Linked DNA regions of Schizosaccharomyces pombe. Changing the gene in region 1 together with any one later gene gives a genetic interaction. Each region holds a gene or a part of one and is shown on either strand. Other genes may lie near its edges.

Region 1 (7,398 bases):
GAAAGGCCAAACGTGTTGCTAAAATAAAAAGCAAAACTTACAGGAAGATCAGAAAGAATCGTAAAGAAAAAGAAATGGCTTTAATTCCTAAGAGTGAAGAGGATCTTGAGAATGAACGGATTAAATCTGAAGAAGCTCGTGCTTTGGAAAGAATGACTCAACGTCACAAAAACACAAGCTCTTGGACCCGTAAAATGCTTGAAAGGGCGTCACATGGTGAAGGAACCCGTGAAGCAGTCAATGAGCAAATACGGAAAGGAGACGAGCTTATGCAACGTATCCATGGTAAAGAGATATCTGAAATGGATGGAGAAGATGTTTCTGAGTTCTCGGATAGCGATTATGACACAAATGAACAGGTGTCAACCGCTTTTGAAAAAATACGAAATGAAGAGGAACCAAAGTTAAAAGGTGTACTGGGCATGAAATTTATGCGTGATGCGTCCAATCGACAAAAGGCTTTAGTGCAAGATGAAATGCAAGCATTCGAAGACGAACTCGCAGGAGTACCCAATGAAGATGATACATCTCAAAAAGGAGAGGACGGGGTTCCTGGAGTATTAATAGGGAATAATACAGGCCGTCGTTCATTTAAGCCTTCCGAAGAAGCTGCAAAATTATCTTTGCCATCAAGGAAAAATCCCTTTGTTTCTGATTCAGCGGTGCTGAAAGTCAACAAACCGGAAATGAAGGAAGGACAAAAGAAGGCCGAAGCTCGAAAAAAAAAGGAATCACCATTAGAAGCAACTGAGGAAACTAATCCATGGTTGCAAGTACCTGACCAAAGGACCTCTTCTGCCAAAAAGTTGGATAAAAACAGCTCTAAGGCAGACAAAAAGAATCACAAGTTAAAAATGGACAAAGTTGCCTCCCTTCAAGAACTTGTCGAAGAACCTAAAGTTCAGCCTGATTTAATTTTTGAAGAAAAGGCTTTTGAATCAGCGTCGGAAGCGGAATCGGATGTTGATGTTTCGGTACCTATGTTAAAGCCAACCAAAGGTCGTTTGTCAATTAAGCAGAGAGAGCTTGTTGCTAAAGCATTTGCTGGCGACGATGTTGTCGCTGAATTTGAAAAGGATAAAGAAGACTGGGTTCAAGAGGATGCACCGAAAGAAGAAGATCATAGTTTGCCCGGTTGGGGTTCATGGGGAGGTGTTGGCGTAAAACAAAGAAAGACTAAGCCTAAGGTTAAAAAAATTGCTGGACTAGATCCGTCAAAGCGGAAGGATTCTAAGCTAAAGCATGTGATTATTAATGAAAAACGCAACAAGAAAGCTGCTAAGCTTACTGCTGATAGTGTTCCGTTCCCATTTGAATCACGAGAACAGTATGAACGATCTCTTAACTTGCCTATGGGACCAGAATGGACTACTCGAGCTTCACATCATAAGGCTGTTGCTCCCAGAGTTGTTACCAAACGTGGTAAAGTCATTAATCCTATTAAGGCACCTAATTAGATTCTTATATGTACATTGAGTTTTGGATTTTTGTTATTAGATTGATATCTTTTGCAGTAGATTAGATACATTTGTAATGGATTTTGGGATATTGGGAAGAAATATATATTTTGAGGTAAATACTTTAAACAAGAAAAAAATTAATTCAATACAAATATATTAATATCATGAGGAAAATTAATTAAAATGGTTATAATTTACTTCGTTTTCTCCCGGAGTAAAGATAAGTGATTATAATTTGTTTCACAGCATCCACCGAGTATCAGGTTTCCATTATGTAGATTTGAGTATTTAGCCGTTATAGTTGACCATTCTTCAGGTGAAGGGGCAGGATGATCTGTTGAGCCAGGTGAAAAAGTACCGTCTGGATTTTGATACAACCCGCGGCCGTCAGGGTACAAAATAGCAGTTATGTTGGATGGTAAAAGACTGGATAGCATTTTTGCGATGGGTTCGAGTAAACTGAGGTGAAAGCAATTAACACCGATGCCCCATATAGAGTCATGATTGATGCTCAGTATCTTGGAGATAATGGACGATACTCGTTCAATAGTGCTGCGCTCAGGGCACGTACAGGTGATCCAGCAACGCTTAGACCAACCTTTCATATCTTGAATGAGTTGGCATACTACTTCTGCTTCAGTCACGTGAGGAAGGCTTTCAAATGCAATGAAGTCAATTTTTTCGAAAGCTTTAGGATTAGATGCTTGAATGGCTTCAATTCTGTTTTTATGAAAATTGTATAGCATTTCAAAATCGGTGGGTTTATCATAAATCATTTTGTATTCCATACATCCAGGAATAGTAGCAGCATGACTTCCGAGACATAAAGCAATATATTTGTTGGGCAAACCCAAATGTTCTCTAGCATAAACAGGTAACCCAATGCTGTTTGCGTAAACCTGTTTTAATGGTACACCTTCTACCTTTTCGTCGTAGATAGAAGCATCCAGTTGATAAGTGAAAGTACTAATAATGTCGCAAACTTTTAAAAATTCTTCATGATGCTTAACAACGATCTCTGGATAACGCACCAGTGCTTCAGAGGTCCATAATCTAGACTCAGATATACTTTCAGGAAGCTTTGGAAGAATGGCAGTAGAGCCACCGTCTAACATAAGCATTTTGGAAAACTCAAAAATTGGGAAAAATAGTTCAACGAACAGCAAAAATGGTATCTCAGGTTATACACTAGTATTAACAGATGTAACTGCCTTTTGATGGATATTACAACAGTTTAGAGAATATCGCACAATCAGAAACCCAATCGACCCAAAACAAAAACATTTGAGTAAGAATCAGACTAGTATATAACGTAACGCGAAATTTTTCCATATTTAATTTAACGTTAATTTACGTGGATCAATTGCGCCTTTTATTTTACTTTGGAATACACTGCAGTTATTATACAGTAAGTGCGCCATCATCGTTGCACCACACTAGATGGACCCAGCGAGTTCAGTTCTCGAGTAAGATGGAACGGGCTACTACGTCTATCAGATTTATACTACACTTCCCATCACTTGTTAACCCATTCTTCACCACGACCTTACAAATTTTTAAACGATTGTGTTTTGTCAGCAAAGCAAAACATTTTTATAGACCAGGATTACTTGAAGAAGAGAAAATCTACTAATTTACGGAAAATATCGAAAAATAGAAAAAATCTAGGTACAATTGGGAAACCTTTTAATTTTGGCACTAAATGCAAGCAACGAAGTCTCGATTTTGAAGTAAAAAAGAAAATAAAAATAGAACAAAGTGGAATAGTTTCCCGGAATCTACCATTAATTGAAATACAATGGGACAGGGGAGCAGTAAACACGCCGACAGCAAGCTCGATTCCTACCCATCCTTTTCTCGGTCAGACACTCAAGGATCCATTAAGTCTTTAAAGTCTCTGAAAACAGTCCTGGGGAAGGGCAAAGACTCGAATCATGATCGCCGAACGTCTACTGATACAACCCATAGTCGTCACCGGTATCCCGAAACACCACCAAGCCTTCCTCCTCCTCCTTCTCCTGGGATATTAGCTACATCTCCGGCTGTGTTGCAAAAGCATCAACAGGAGGATTCGGGAAATTCTTCTCAATCTCCGACGTCGCCGCATCCTTCTAACCAGCCTGCCATGCTTAGTCCCTCTACGGCCGCTTCCCAGCATCATCATCATCATTCTTCTTCTTCTTCTTATGCCGTTTCTCCAACATCACCTACCTCACCAACCAGCTCTGGCCCAATTGGCTCCAACTTTGATTCAGCTTCTGAGCATAATGGTCCTGTGTATCCACAAGATCAGCAGGGGCCCGTAATTATCCCTAATTCGGCAATTTCTTCTACGGATCCTGATGATCCTGAAACAGTTGTTAGCCTTAACGTAGATGAAATGATTCAAAGATTGATCCATGTTGGCTATTCTCGAAAAAGTAGTAAAAGTGTGTGTCTAAAGAATGCTGAAATTACCAGCATTTGTATGGCCGTACGAGAAATATTTCTTTCGCAGCCGACACTTTTAGAATTGACCCCGCCGGTGAAAATCGTTGGTGACGTTCATGGTCAATATTCCGATTTAATTCGACTGTTTGAAATGTGTGGGTTTCCTCCGAGCTCTAATTATTTATTCTTAGGCGATTATGTCGATCGTGGTAAGCAGAGTCTTGAAACCATCCTCTTGCTCTTTTTGTACAAGATCAGATATCCAGAAAACTTTTTCTTGCTACGGGGCAATCATGAATGCGCTAATATCACTCGCGTTTACGGTTTTTACGATGAGTGTAAAAGACGTTGCAATATCAAAATTTGGAAGACTTTCATAAACACCTTTAATTGCTTACCCATTGCGTCCGTTGTAGCCGGTAAAATTTTTTGCGTTCATGGTGGTCTTTCTCCATCGTTAAGTCATATGGATGACATACGGGAGATTCCTCGTCCTACTGACGTTCCTGACTATGGATTGCTGAATGATTTGTTATGGTCAGATCCTGCTGATACTGAAAACGATTGGGAAGATAATGAACGAGGTGTTTCTTTTGTTTTCAACAAAAACGTTATCCGGCAATTTTTGGCCAAGCACGACTTTGATTTAATCTGTCGTGCTCACATGGTTGTTGAAGACGGTTATGAATTTTTTAATGACAGAACTTTATGTACGGTGTTTTCTGCCCCTAATTACTGTGGGGAATTTGATAATTGGGGGGCCGTGATGAGTGTTAATTCAGAGCTGCTTTGTTCCTTTGAACTTATAAAGCCTCTCGACCAGGCAGCAATTCGACGAGAATTAAAAAAGAGCAAGCGTAGTGGTATGGCTATTTATCAATCTCCCCCTGCTGAGCAGGTTACCCAAAGCGTGTAAGCATTCTATTTTTTCTATTTTGGTCTCCATTTGAAATTATCTAGCGGTTTTATTGGGACACTATTTTATTCTCTTAAATGAGTATTATCTGTTATTATGTTATAGTCACTATGGTGATGGATCAAGTCCTTGGTTCACTTTATCGGTTCGAGGGCAATTCCATCCTGACACGTTTAGTATAAGTTTCTGTTTCTTTTAATAAAAACACAATCATTTCCATATAGTGACAGTTAACTTGCTTTTTATTTTTGCTAACCGACACCTGCTGAACATCGAAAGAGTAGGTAAAAAATTTACATGAGGAGGAAATAAACAATTATTATAGTATTATTATTAGCATTAAATAAATTTAAAGCGAAAATGTATCCATTTCTTTGTAAATCTTCTATCAATTACTAATCTCCCATACGATGGGCTTAAAACAACACTTTGAAAACTAAAGTTGAATGTGGTATCGTACTTAAGTACTTCTTTCCATGATCCATTTGTGATAAGTATTTTGGTTTCCTTATTGTATAATGAGTAAGCTACTTTTGTTGCATAATGCTGCCAAGTAGGCAGTTCTTTGATAAATCTCCTGCGTTGTTTTGTTTGTGTCAGCTTTTTCGTTCAATCAAGATATTTTATCACATTATTTCAAGGTTCAATGAATCATTCGAAGAATAGTAACGAATTCAGATATATTAAATAAAGGCACACATAATCTCTAAAGATTACAGTTTAATGGCTCTTTCAAAGTGTTTAGTAATATATACACTAAATTTCTAAAATTCAGTAGTTATGGCGAAGTGGCCGAGTGGTCTATGGCGCTAGCTTCAGGTGAAAGCAATTGCTAGTCTACGTATGTGGGCGTGGGTTCGAACCCCACCTTCGTCAATATAATTTTTTATATCATGTTAATGGAATTGAGAAAAAGCAAGCTGTCAGTTTATACTTTCAATGTTATGCAGAAACCGTTTTATTTCAATTATTTACACTGTTTGACACTACTAAAGCAGAGTTAATTGTAATGAGACATAACGGTACATGGTGCTTCGACTTTCATAACCATTAAAGAAAAGAAGAATGTCTTGATTTTGGCTTATTTAAAGACCCATTGTGACTGGAAAAACAAATGACCCTACGTAGTAAAGGGTAAAATGAATTTTTTTTAATTTTTTTTTTAGATTCAATGTAGAAATATAATCGATTATCAGATTCATTGTCATGCCTGATAATCCATGTATGATACTATGCAAAGATATAAAGAGAATTTTCTTCTTTTTTAAAAGTTGTTTTAAAGATAGAGGATGTTGTTTTTAAGCTGCTGAAACTGAATAATATAAGAAATCTAACGAGCAAGAGAATGCTCGACTTATGTTTACAATATTATATAGCTAAATATCTTAAGTTCTTATTATATAACTTTATACAGTACAATGATACTTTTCAATATTATATAAGTATTTACCTCTTTTGATCAGATACAAAGTATCTTTCAAGAGAGCTTGTTTTCTACTGACTGTTTCGTCTTTAAAATAAGTTGATTGGGAATAAATTGTATTAATTTTTTTTATCCCTCGCAAATATCGGATTTCCTTTTGTTGAACACTGCAACTTGCCTTAATGCTGACAATGTTACTAATCAATTGAATAATCCTGGCAACTACTAGTGAAAAGGGTTTTAAAATAAAATAAAATATCTCAAAATAGCTTACGCATACCTTTTTTGGTGACTCTGTAGTTATCGTTATACAGGTGCTATATAACTAAGCGGCTTCACCTTGCGGTATCCGTTCTTCCTCCACTCTTCACGCCTTCTGTAAATTATTAATATGTCGTATTATCAAATAATAGTTTGTATTCTAGCATCCATTAGTTATATCATTCTTCTAGAGGTAATTGCCTTAGATCTTGGAGTGTTAGATAACATATTTATTCCTAAGCGATTTGCGGCCAGTACAGATGTTGCCATTCAGCTGCCGGACCGTAATGTCACTCTATGGTCACGACAGGCAGTATTTGGTAAACATTTTACGAACGCTTCAGCTACCACTGTGATTAATCTTTATCTACCTTCTAACTTCCAAGAGGATATGTCCGGATGCCCAAACAGAAACGATACTGACGCTTCCTACTTTTACGAAAATGATATAATCGACTATGACATTGAGTATATAGAGCAAAAATCATATTCCTCCAAGCCTTCTGCTCGAGTACAAAAGGATGATGGGGGCGAGTCAAAGGATGAAGCAATATTGGATTTTCTCTTGGTTCAAAGAGGCAAGTGTACCTATTTTGATAAAGCATTGGAAGCCCAAAGGCTCGGATTTAAAGGGGTTATAGTTGGTGACAATCGATCACCTTCCTCATTTCGCTTACATTATATGGTTGCCCCCGATAAAGTGGACGAGTCAAAAGTTCATATTCCATCATTGTTTGTCTCTACTAGTTCTTATAATTTGTTATGGTCTGACTTACTGCATTCATATCGTCAGCCACTGAAATTATATGCAAAACCGGAGGAACTGGGTGATATGTTTTGGCCCTTCCTACTTTGCTTCTCTCCTTCCATTATTATGTTAATTACTGTGCAAGCCTTAGCCATTCGTA
Region 2 (7,760 bases), 1.3 Mb from region 1:
CTAGTGCATCTTCAAAAGATGATTTTCCCTCGACCATAGAAACAAGAGCAGCAATAACTTCATCTTGACTACCACGAACTTGCTTAGTAGAATCACGTTCGCGAAGTGTAATAGTTTCGTTTTGAAGAGTCTCAAAGTCTACAGTCAACCCGAAGGGAGTTCCCAATTCATCGTTACGAGCATAGCGACGGCCAATATTGGCATTAGAATCGTCTATTTTATTAGAAATGCCAAGATTGCGAAGTTTGGCAGACAATTTCTTTACAAAAGGAGCGAACTCAGCATTGCGGCTCAAAGGAACAATGAGGGCCTTAATAGGTGCGATAGAAGCAGGGAAGGACAAAACACCACGGTTTACGTCTTCTGGTCTAGTCCAATAAGCATGTTCCATGAGTACATACAAGATTCTGCCTAATCCAAAGGATGGCTCGATAACATTAGGAGTATAAGTACGAATGTGTTCAGTATGCTTTCTCTTCTCAATTGTGACGAGATCAGATTCTACTGTATGCTCAACACCATTAACATTAACAATAATTTTACCTTCAGCAACAAGTTGAGCACTTTTTTCAACTTTTTCCGATTCCGGCCACGAAATCATAGCTTCCTCAACAGCCTTGGCATCACGTTTGAAACGTGGACCAAATTTTTTGCGATTAACTTCAACCTCGAATTGTTCAACAACAACAGGTTCAGGAAGAGCCTCTTGAACTACTAAAGGAGTCTTGGTAGCTTTACTGTGAACGCTAAGATCATAGGCACTACGATCAGCGCAACCTACACACTCGATCCAGCCGTAAGAGCATTGAATTTCGGCATCCCAGCAATCGCAAGCATAATGAGCCATTTCATTGCTCATATGTTGCCTAAAACGAACACGGTTCATATCAATACCAATTTTCTCCAAGAATAAGCTGATACGGGCCATAAAATAACCTAATGTAGTGTTATCAACAATTCCTTTCTTGACAGCATCACCTATGGGCATTTCCAAAATGTCAGTCTTTCCTTCTAATTGGACACCACGGGGCAACAAACGAAGGGGCATATGAGAAACCTCGTCAAATCTATCATGCTCTTTGTTTTTAGGATCGACAAAGTGTTCGACTTCGGCCATCAAAAACTCACGAACACGAAGCAGGCCACTCCGAGGAGAAATCTCATTACGGAAGGCTTTACCAACCATAGCACTGGCAAAGGGAACTTTGCCGTTATTAAACTCCAATAAACGGCTAAAGTTTAAAAATTGTCCTTGGGCAGTTTCAGGTCGGAGGTAACCTTTCAGACCACCACTGGGACCAATTTGAGTTTCAAACATTAAGTTGAACTGACGAGGGGTTTCAAGCTCACCGTTGGTTGCAGGGTTACGAATGTCATACTTCTTCATGAGCTCACCTAATTGATCTCCATCATAGTTGTCAATTTGGGCAAGAATAAACTCGTATTCCTCAACAGTCTTGTCATCCAGACGAGTCGCACGAATTTCCTTTACCTTCTTCTTACGCTTCTTCTTGTCATCAGATTCTTCAGGCTGGTCATTGGAATTCTGCCCACGAGCTTCCTTGTCACCCTTCAAACGGGCTTCCAAAACCTCTTCAACCAAGTGGTCGGCACGAAAGATTTCACCGGTAGCAGGGTCCTTACACATCCAATCTGCAAACTTATCAACATGCCCACTAGTCTTCAAAACTTCATGAGGAGTAAGCATGGAGCAATCAACCTCCAGCATGCTTTCTTCGATAACAAAGTGCTTTCGCCAAATATCAACCAGATTAGATTGAAGTGCACTACCTGGTGGGCCATAATCATACAATCCACTAATTCCACCATAGATTTGAAAAGAAGGAGAGAAGAAGAATCTCTTCTTCATTAACTCCTCGAACTGAGTTCGATCAAAAGCTGCTGCCTTTGAAACTTCTGTCATTTTTCTACTGAAAATCCGTTTAGCAAAGGCTGTGCAAGAAGAACGAAACGCTTGAAAAGAAATTATGCAAGCAAGGAGCGAAAAGCTTTAAAATGCCTGCTTTTCGCCTGGTTTTCAAATGTTTACGGAAGATAAACTGTTCAAAGCTAGAAATTTTGCTAGTTCGTAAAATTCATAGATAGTGCATTTTGTTAGGCTACATCAATTCATATTATGCGTTGTTATGCGAACTTTTGGACTTTCCTTAATTTAAATACGGTACCTGTAAAAAGTACTTGAACACTCTAAATCTTGTTAACATTTTTTACGGAACAACAACGATTTATGTTAAAGATCGTCAACAATCTCACTTCACTGCCCAAAGCGTACAACATGGTCGAAGTATAGGCTGAAACTTTGAACCGCTTAGAAACTACCTTCTACGGGAAAGAAGACGCGATTTTACGTTGTATTATAAGAGAGGAATCCTCAAGTATTGTTGAAAGGAATCGTCAAAGATTGGGTAAAAATGTCGTTTGTCATTTGTCATAATTCCCTTTTAGAAATTTAGTGGTTTCCTCATCAGTATCGCTTTTACCCGTAGATTTCAAAACTAATTGCTTCTTATCTTGTCCATAGTTAAGGATTTCCGTTAACTTCAAACCAATTTCTCTGTTTCTTGTTCTGTTGTTGGTGGGTTTGGCTGGAAGTATTGACTAAAATAAATGGTCCTAAATTACATTCAAAGATGGTTCAAGTGGGTGATACCAACTTTTGGATTCTTGGCAATTCATTATATTTACATTATATCCTTAACTATCATTGCCTCTATCCTACTTTTTACCGGAGGGACCACCACGAAAATCAAGTATATCGATGCTTTATTCTTAGCTAGCAGCGCAACTACCCAAACAGGCCTTAACAGTGTTGACTTAAATTCTTTATCTATCTGGCAGCAGTTTATCCTGTATGGATTTACTGCTATTACGGTTCCTATATGGATGCACGGAAGTATTTCCTTCATCCGGCTGTATTGGTTTCGACGAAAATTTAAAGACGTTGTTCGTCAAAATCGTACTCGAAAATTTCAGAGAAAGCTCCGTAAAAGCTTAATGAAAAAAAGCGAGGATGACGAAGAACAGGGTGTTCGTGGTAGAAAAATTCGTGTAATGTTACCATACCTACATTCACTAAGGAGTCCAACGTCTCTAAAAAACTTCTCGAGATTTGACACGCATGACAGTACGAACAATCCGTACTTTCCTGACAACCCCCCTTCTCCCAAGGCAGATATATCTAAAGACGAGTATTTTGGAAAGTATCTCCCAAAAAAGTCTGATACGCTAGACATGGATTTGGAAAGTCACAACATGACTTTTCATGACTATGAACCTTCCATTGAAAATAAAAATTACGATTTTGGTAGTTCGCATTCAGCCTCGATGCAAATGTATGAAATGGATGACCTTCATCCCCGACTTCGTAGACAAAGCTCTTTTATTTCCTCCGTTAATCCTTTAGAGGCTGACGACACCCGTGAAACTTTATCTGAAGGCGCCTTAGTTCAGGAATCTCTCCCTATGGCTTATAGTTATTCTGATACTAATTTGGTTGTATCGAGGGATTCATTTACTCTCACTGGGGACGACAATCTTTTCCCAGAAGGTGGTTTAAGGCCTGCCAATACAATAGACGGAATAGTAAGGTCGTCTCTGTCTTCTTCCTCCCTATCTAAAGACACTGAACCATCGACAGTTGACATGCATATTGCTTTCACCGGACTTAATAAGCCCACCATAGAGCGTGAACGTAATCTTAAACTTAGAAAAAAAAGTCGTTTTTATAAAAAATCTTTACGTTCCAGATTTTCGCGAGGACTTCATCGTCCAATACGTTGGACAAAGTCATTCACTTCTAACCGACGAAACTTGACTCTTGAACGAGTCCTTTCTTCTGCCTTTGCTAAAAAACGTGAGCCTTCTATTTCATCAAGACACACTACTATGTCACTTCCCTATTTGTCGTATAATCCTACTGTCGATCGTAATTCTGCTTTCGTTGCTTTGTCTAAAGAACAGCGGGACGAGCTGGGTGGAATTGAATATAGAGCTTTGAAATGCGTCTGCTCCATGGTTACCCTTTATTTTATCATTTTTAATATTGCTGCCTTTGTGACCTTCATTGTTTTTGCTTATACGGCAGTGGGATCGCGAGAGGTAATAGATTCTTATGACTTACGTCGTGGGTGGTGGGCGTTATTCTCGTCTGCTTCTTCATTTAATGATTTGGGGTTTTCTTTAATACCATCGTCTTTTGTGCCAATGAATCGAAACATTTTTCTTTTGTTGATTTCATCTTTATTCATTATCGCAGGTAACACGGGATTCCCTTGTTTTTTTAGAACATTCATTTGGACAACGTATAAGCTATACCCTTTTAGTTTTGAGAAGAAAGAAGCTATGGCATTTCTCCTTGATCATCCTCGACGATGTTTCACTTTATTGTTTCCATCTGGAGCAACCTGGGTCTTGTTTTTTGTTTTGCTGCTGCTTAATGTCATTGATCTGGTATTGTTCATGGTCTTAGATACTGGAAGTAAAGCAGTCGCTAGCCTTCCTAAAGGTATTAGGGTTGTAAATGCAATATTTCAATCAGTTTGTACAAGAACCGCAGGATTCACGAGTGTATCAATTAGTGAACTTCACCCAGCAGTACTGGTCAGTTACATGGTTATGATGTATATTTCTGTTTATCCAGTTGCTATCAACATGAGAAATACCAATGTTTATGAGGAGCGATCTTTGGGTGTTTACAGAACTGAAGATGATGAGGGGAAATCTTTCTTAAAAGATCACCTTACTGAACAATTAAGTTACGATTTATGGTATATTTTTCTAGGGCTATTCATCATATGCATTTGTGAAGGAGGTAAAATCTCCAATCCTCTAGATACCGATTTCAGTATTTTTACTGTCCTTTTTGAAGTAGTCTCTGCTTACGGTACGGTGGGACTTAGTACTGGATTAAGCTCCTCAAATTGTTCACTTTCAGCAAGATTTACTACTATAAGTAAACTAGTTATTATAGCACTTGAACTGCGCGGTAGACATAGAGGTTTACCCAGGGCTGTTGATCGAGCCATCCTTCTTCCTTCTGAAAAAAATAATCTGAAAGAAGAAGAAGATTATCAACGTCGTCACGGATTTTCCATAGACAACGCACGTGGCAGTATTGCAGTTTCTCGAGACTGATATTTCTTATCACGATCATGTATTATATTTGTAAATTATATCATCTAATAAATAGTACGCTCGCTAAATTTCATACTCCTGATCGATACACCGTTTGTCCGCCATTTCTGAGTTGAATTGTTTCCTTCGACGAAAGAATTTGTAAAGCCATTTCTAACGCGTGTTGTGAATATCCATGCTAAAATTATGTTAGACTTAGATTTAATCAATAAACATACCCCATTTACGTATTCTCGTATAAGCATACGGTAACTCGCCTGAAACCCTATAGGTAACCTTTTTCTTAAGCTGGCTTCAATTTTTTTTACTTCCTCAGTAACTTCAGGCGAACTTTGTGTAGCAGCAGCAAGTGTACTGGTCAAAAACAGTCGAATCGCTTCAGTAGCGTGAGCTTCAGAAGCAATAGGTGATAATGACATTTTTGCAAGGGATTCAGTAATTCGTATGATTGCCTCTAATTGACGAACAGTGATTGGAATGGTAGAACGCGAGTTACTGTCCTGCTCTGACTGATGAACACGTTTTCGAATTGCGACAAATTGACTAGATAGCTTTTCAGCTGCCTCTGCATCAAGATTAGGTGCACATTTGCTAAATCCATTAGTAACTAATATTAAATTTGGTATACTTACTGTCTACAATAGTTTATGTACCGCCGAAACTTATCAAAAGGAATTTCTCCAATTGCTAAAGTCTCACTAGATTCTTGTAAATTGGTATGAAGATTAATAACGTGACGGGCAATATTTCGATCCTTTGTTTCATCATGTTCATCCTTAACAATAAATATCATGTCGAATCTTGAAAGAATCGTAGATTGAAAATCAATGTTTTCACCTGGTGTCTTCATATCATCGTATCGGCCAAAAATTGGATTAGCAGCAGCTAAAACGGATGTCCTAGAATTCAATATAGTAGTGATACCGGCTTTAGCTATTGAAATAGTTTGTTGCTCCATTGCTTCGTGAATAGCAACACGATCTTCATCCCTCATTTTATCAAATTCATCAATACAGACAATGCCACCATCAGCAAGAACCATTGCGCCACCTTCAAGGTAAAATTCTCTGGTAACTGAGTCTCTTTGAATAGAAGCAGTCAAACCAGCAGCACTTGAACCTTTACCGGAAGTATAAACAGCGATGGGGGCCAGTCGCTCAACGAATTTCAAAAATTGAGATTTCGCAGTACCAGGATCACCAAGAAGTAAAACATTAATGTCACCACGAAGGCGCATACCATCGGGGAGAATTTTTTTAGAACCTGAAAAAAGTAGGCATGCAATAGCTTTCTTGATGTCTACATTACCATAAATAGCGGGAGATATGCTGTTGGATATAATATCGTACAAATTCGGAGTACGAGAAATTTCAAGGAACTCCTCTTCTTCCTCTTCACTAAATAAAGGAGTAGATTTAGAGCCATCATTTGAATCCATTTGAATACCCACGACTCTGATATAAGGGTTCCGAATGGCCACGGCACCACTAGCTTTAACAGACTTATTTTGAAAAATAGAAAAAATGCCAGTAATAACGCAGCGGGTTCCCGGAGTAATTTGGTTAGTTAAATAGCGATCAGCATTCAATAATATATGACGAGGCAACTCACCGACAGGAACCATATCAGGAGCTTCCTGTAGTTTAAGCACCTGCTGATCGATAAAAGTCGATTTTGAATGATCAATAATGAAAGGATCCATCGGGCAGTCTTTTTTTTCACCATCGAGAACAGGAGCTTCACAAACTCTAGGAAGCTGAACACCTGAAAATCCACCAGAAATCTGTAAAATCCTGGTAGCCCTACAATTTCTGCATACTAAGTGCAAAGCAGTTGCACGGCAGGAAAGTGTTGAAGCACCGATGATGATACCAGGCACTCTAACCAGTTTTGAGATATGAGAAGCTGTCAGGTTACGGATTGGAAGGATGTTAGCATCGTAACGTAGAGTTACCTGGCAAGTGGGGATATTCGTAGAAGCATTTTCTTGACTTCTATAAAGTAGGCGTTTAGCAACTGTAGTGACAGCAGACTCAAACAGAGGTAGAATATCTGTCGGCTGACTCAGAAGCAAATGAGCTAGATCTTCGTTATAACTGATCAGGTGCCTAAGATCTATGTTCAACATGTATTGTTTTACCACGAGATTGTCTCTTAGTTGAGTACGATAGATAAAGTCATTGTCAATCACAAATTCTTCAATAAACTGTATGAAATTCTTCTCATGACTAACATTGGAATCTAATTCTTGCTCTCCTGGGAGAACTGGGGTATAATATACAGCACTCCGTTCCCAACCTGTTGCTGCAGCCATTATTGTGATGAAAAAGACTAAGGGGAATGAGTTAAAAAAAAATAAAAAAGCGAGATAAAAAAGATGATATGGTATAAAATAAAGGATGAAGCAAATTTCGCTGCTCTTCGAAAAAATAAAACAAAAATTAGAAAAGCTCTTCAAAACCTTTACAGAATGAGTTGCAAAAATGATATAAATATGTTCTTAAATTACATGTAACTGCAATAAATATTTTACGCGTGAAGAAACGAATGTAATGCTGTAAAATATATTATTGAACAACCTCTGTGGTGTTTGGTGAAAGGACTAA

What was found. Genes that interact genetically often act in the same process or in processes that back each other up.
Region 2: of pzh1 (region 1) and trk1, changing one suppresses a phenotype caused by changing the other (phenotypic suppression), as found in Schizosaccharomyces pombe (one study listed by BioGRID).

Annotation. Positions count from the first base shown.
Region 1 is NC_003424.3:1,525,372-1,532,769, reverse strand, and holds pzh1 (serine/threonine protein phosphatase Pzh1), read left to right. Parts: upstream 1-2,997; 5' UTR 2,998-3,258; coding exon 3,259-4,806; 3' UTR 4,807-5,205; downstream 5,206-7,398. Other genes in the region: U3 snoRNP protein Utp14, read left to right, coding at 1-1,457; SPOM_SPAC57A7.07C (homocysteine methyltransferase), read right to left, coding at 1,655-2,581; rnf13 (RING finger protein), read left to right, coding at 6,621-7,398.
Region 2 is NC_003424.3:2,815,650-2,823,409, reverse strand, and holds trk1 (plasma membrane potassium ion transmembrane transporter Trk1), read left to right. Parts: upstream 1-2,338; 5' UTR 2,339-2,628; coding exon 2,629-5,154; 3' UTR 5,155-5,224; coding exon of another isoform or gene 5,225-5,332; 3' UTR 5,333-5,372; downstream 5,373-7,760. Other genes in the region: glycine--tRNA (Gly) ligase Grs1, read right to left, coding at 1-1,924; MCM complex subunit Mcm5, read right to left, coding at 5,225-5,332, 5,373-5,745, 5,787-7,468. UniProt on the Schizosaccharomyces pombe protein: Together with TRK2, defines the major, high-affinity potassium influx transport system. Involved in maintenance of the proper sodium/potassium ratio in the cell and in regulating the plasma membrane potential.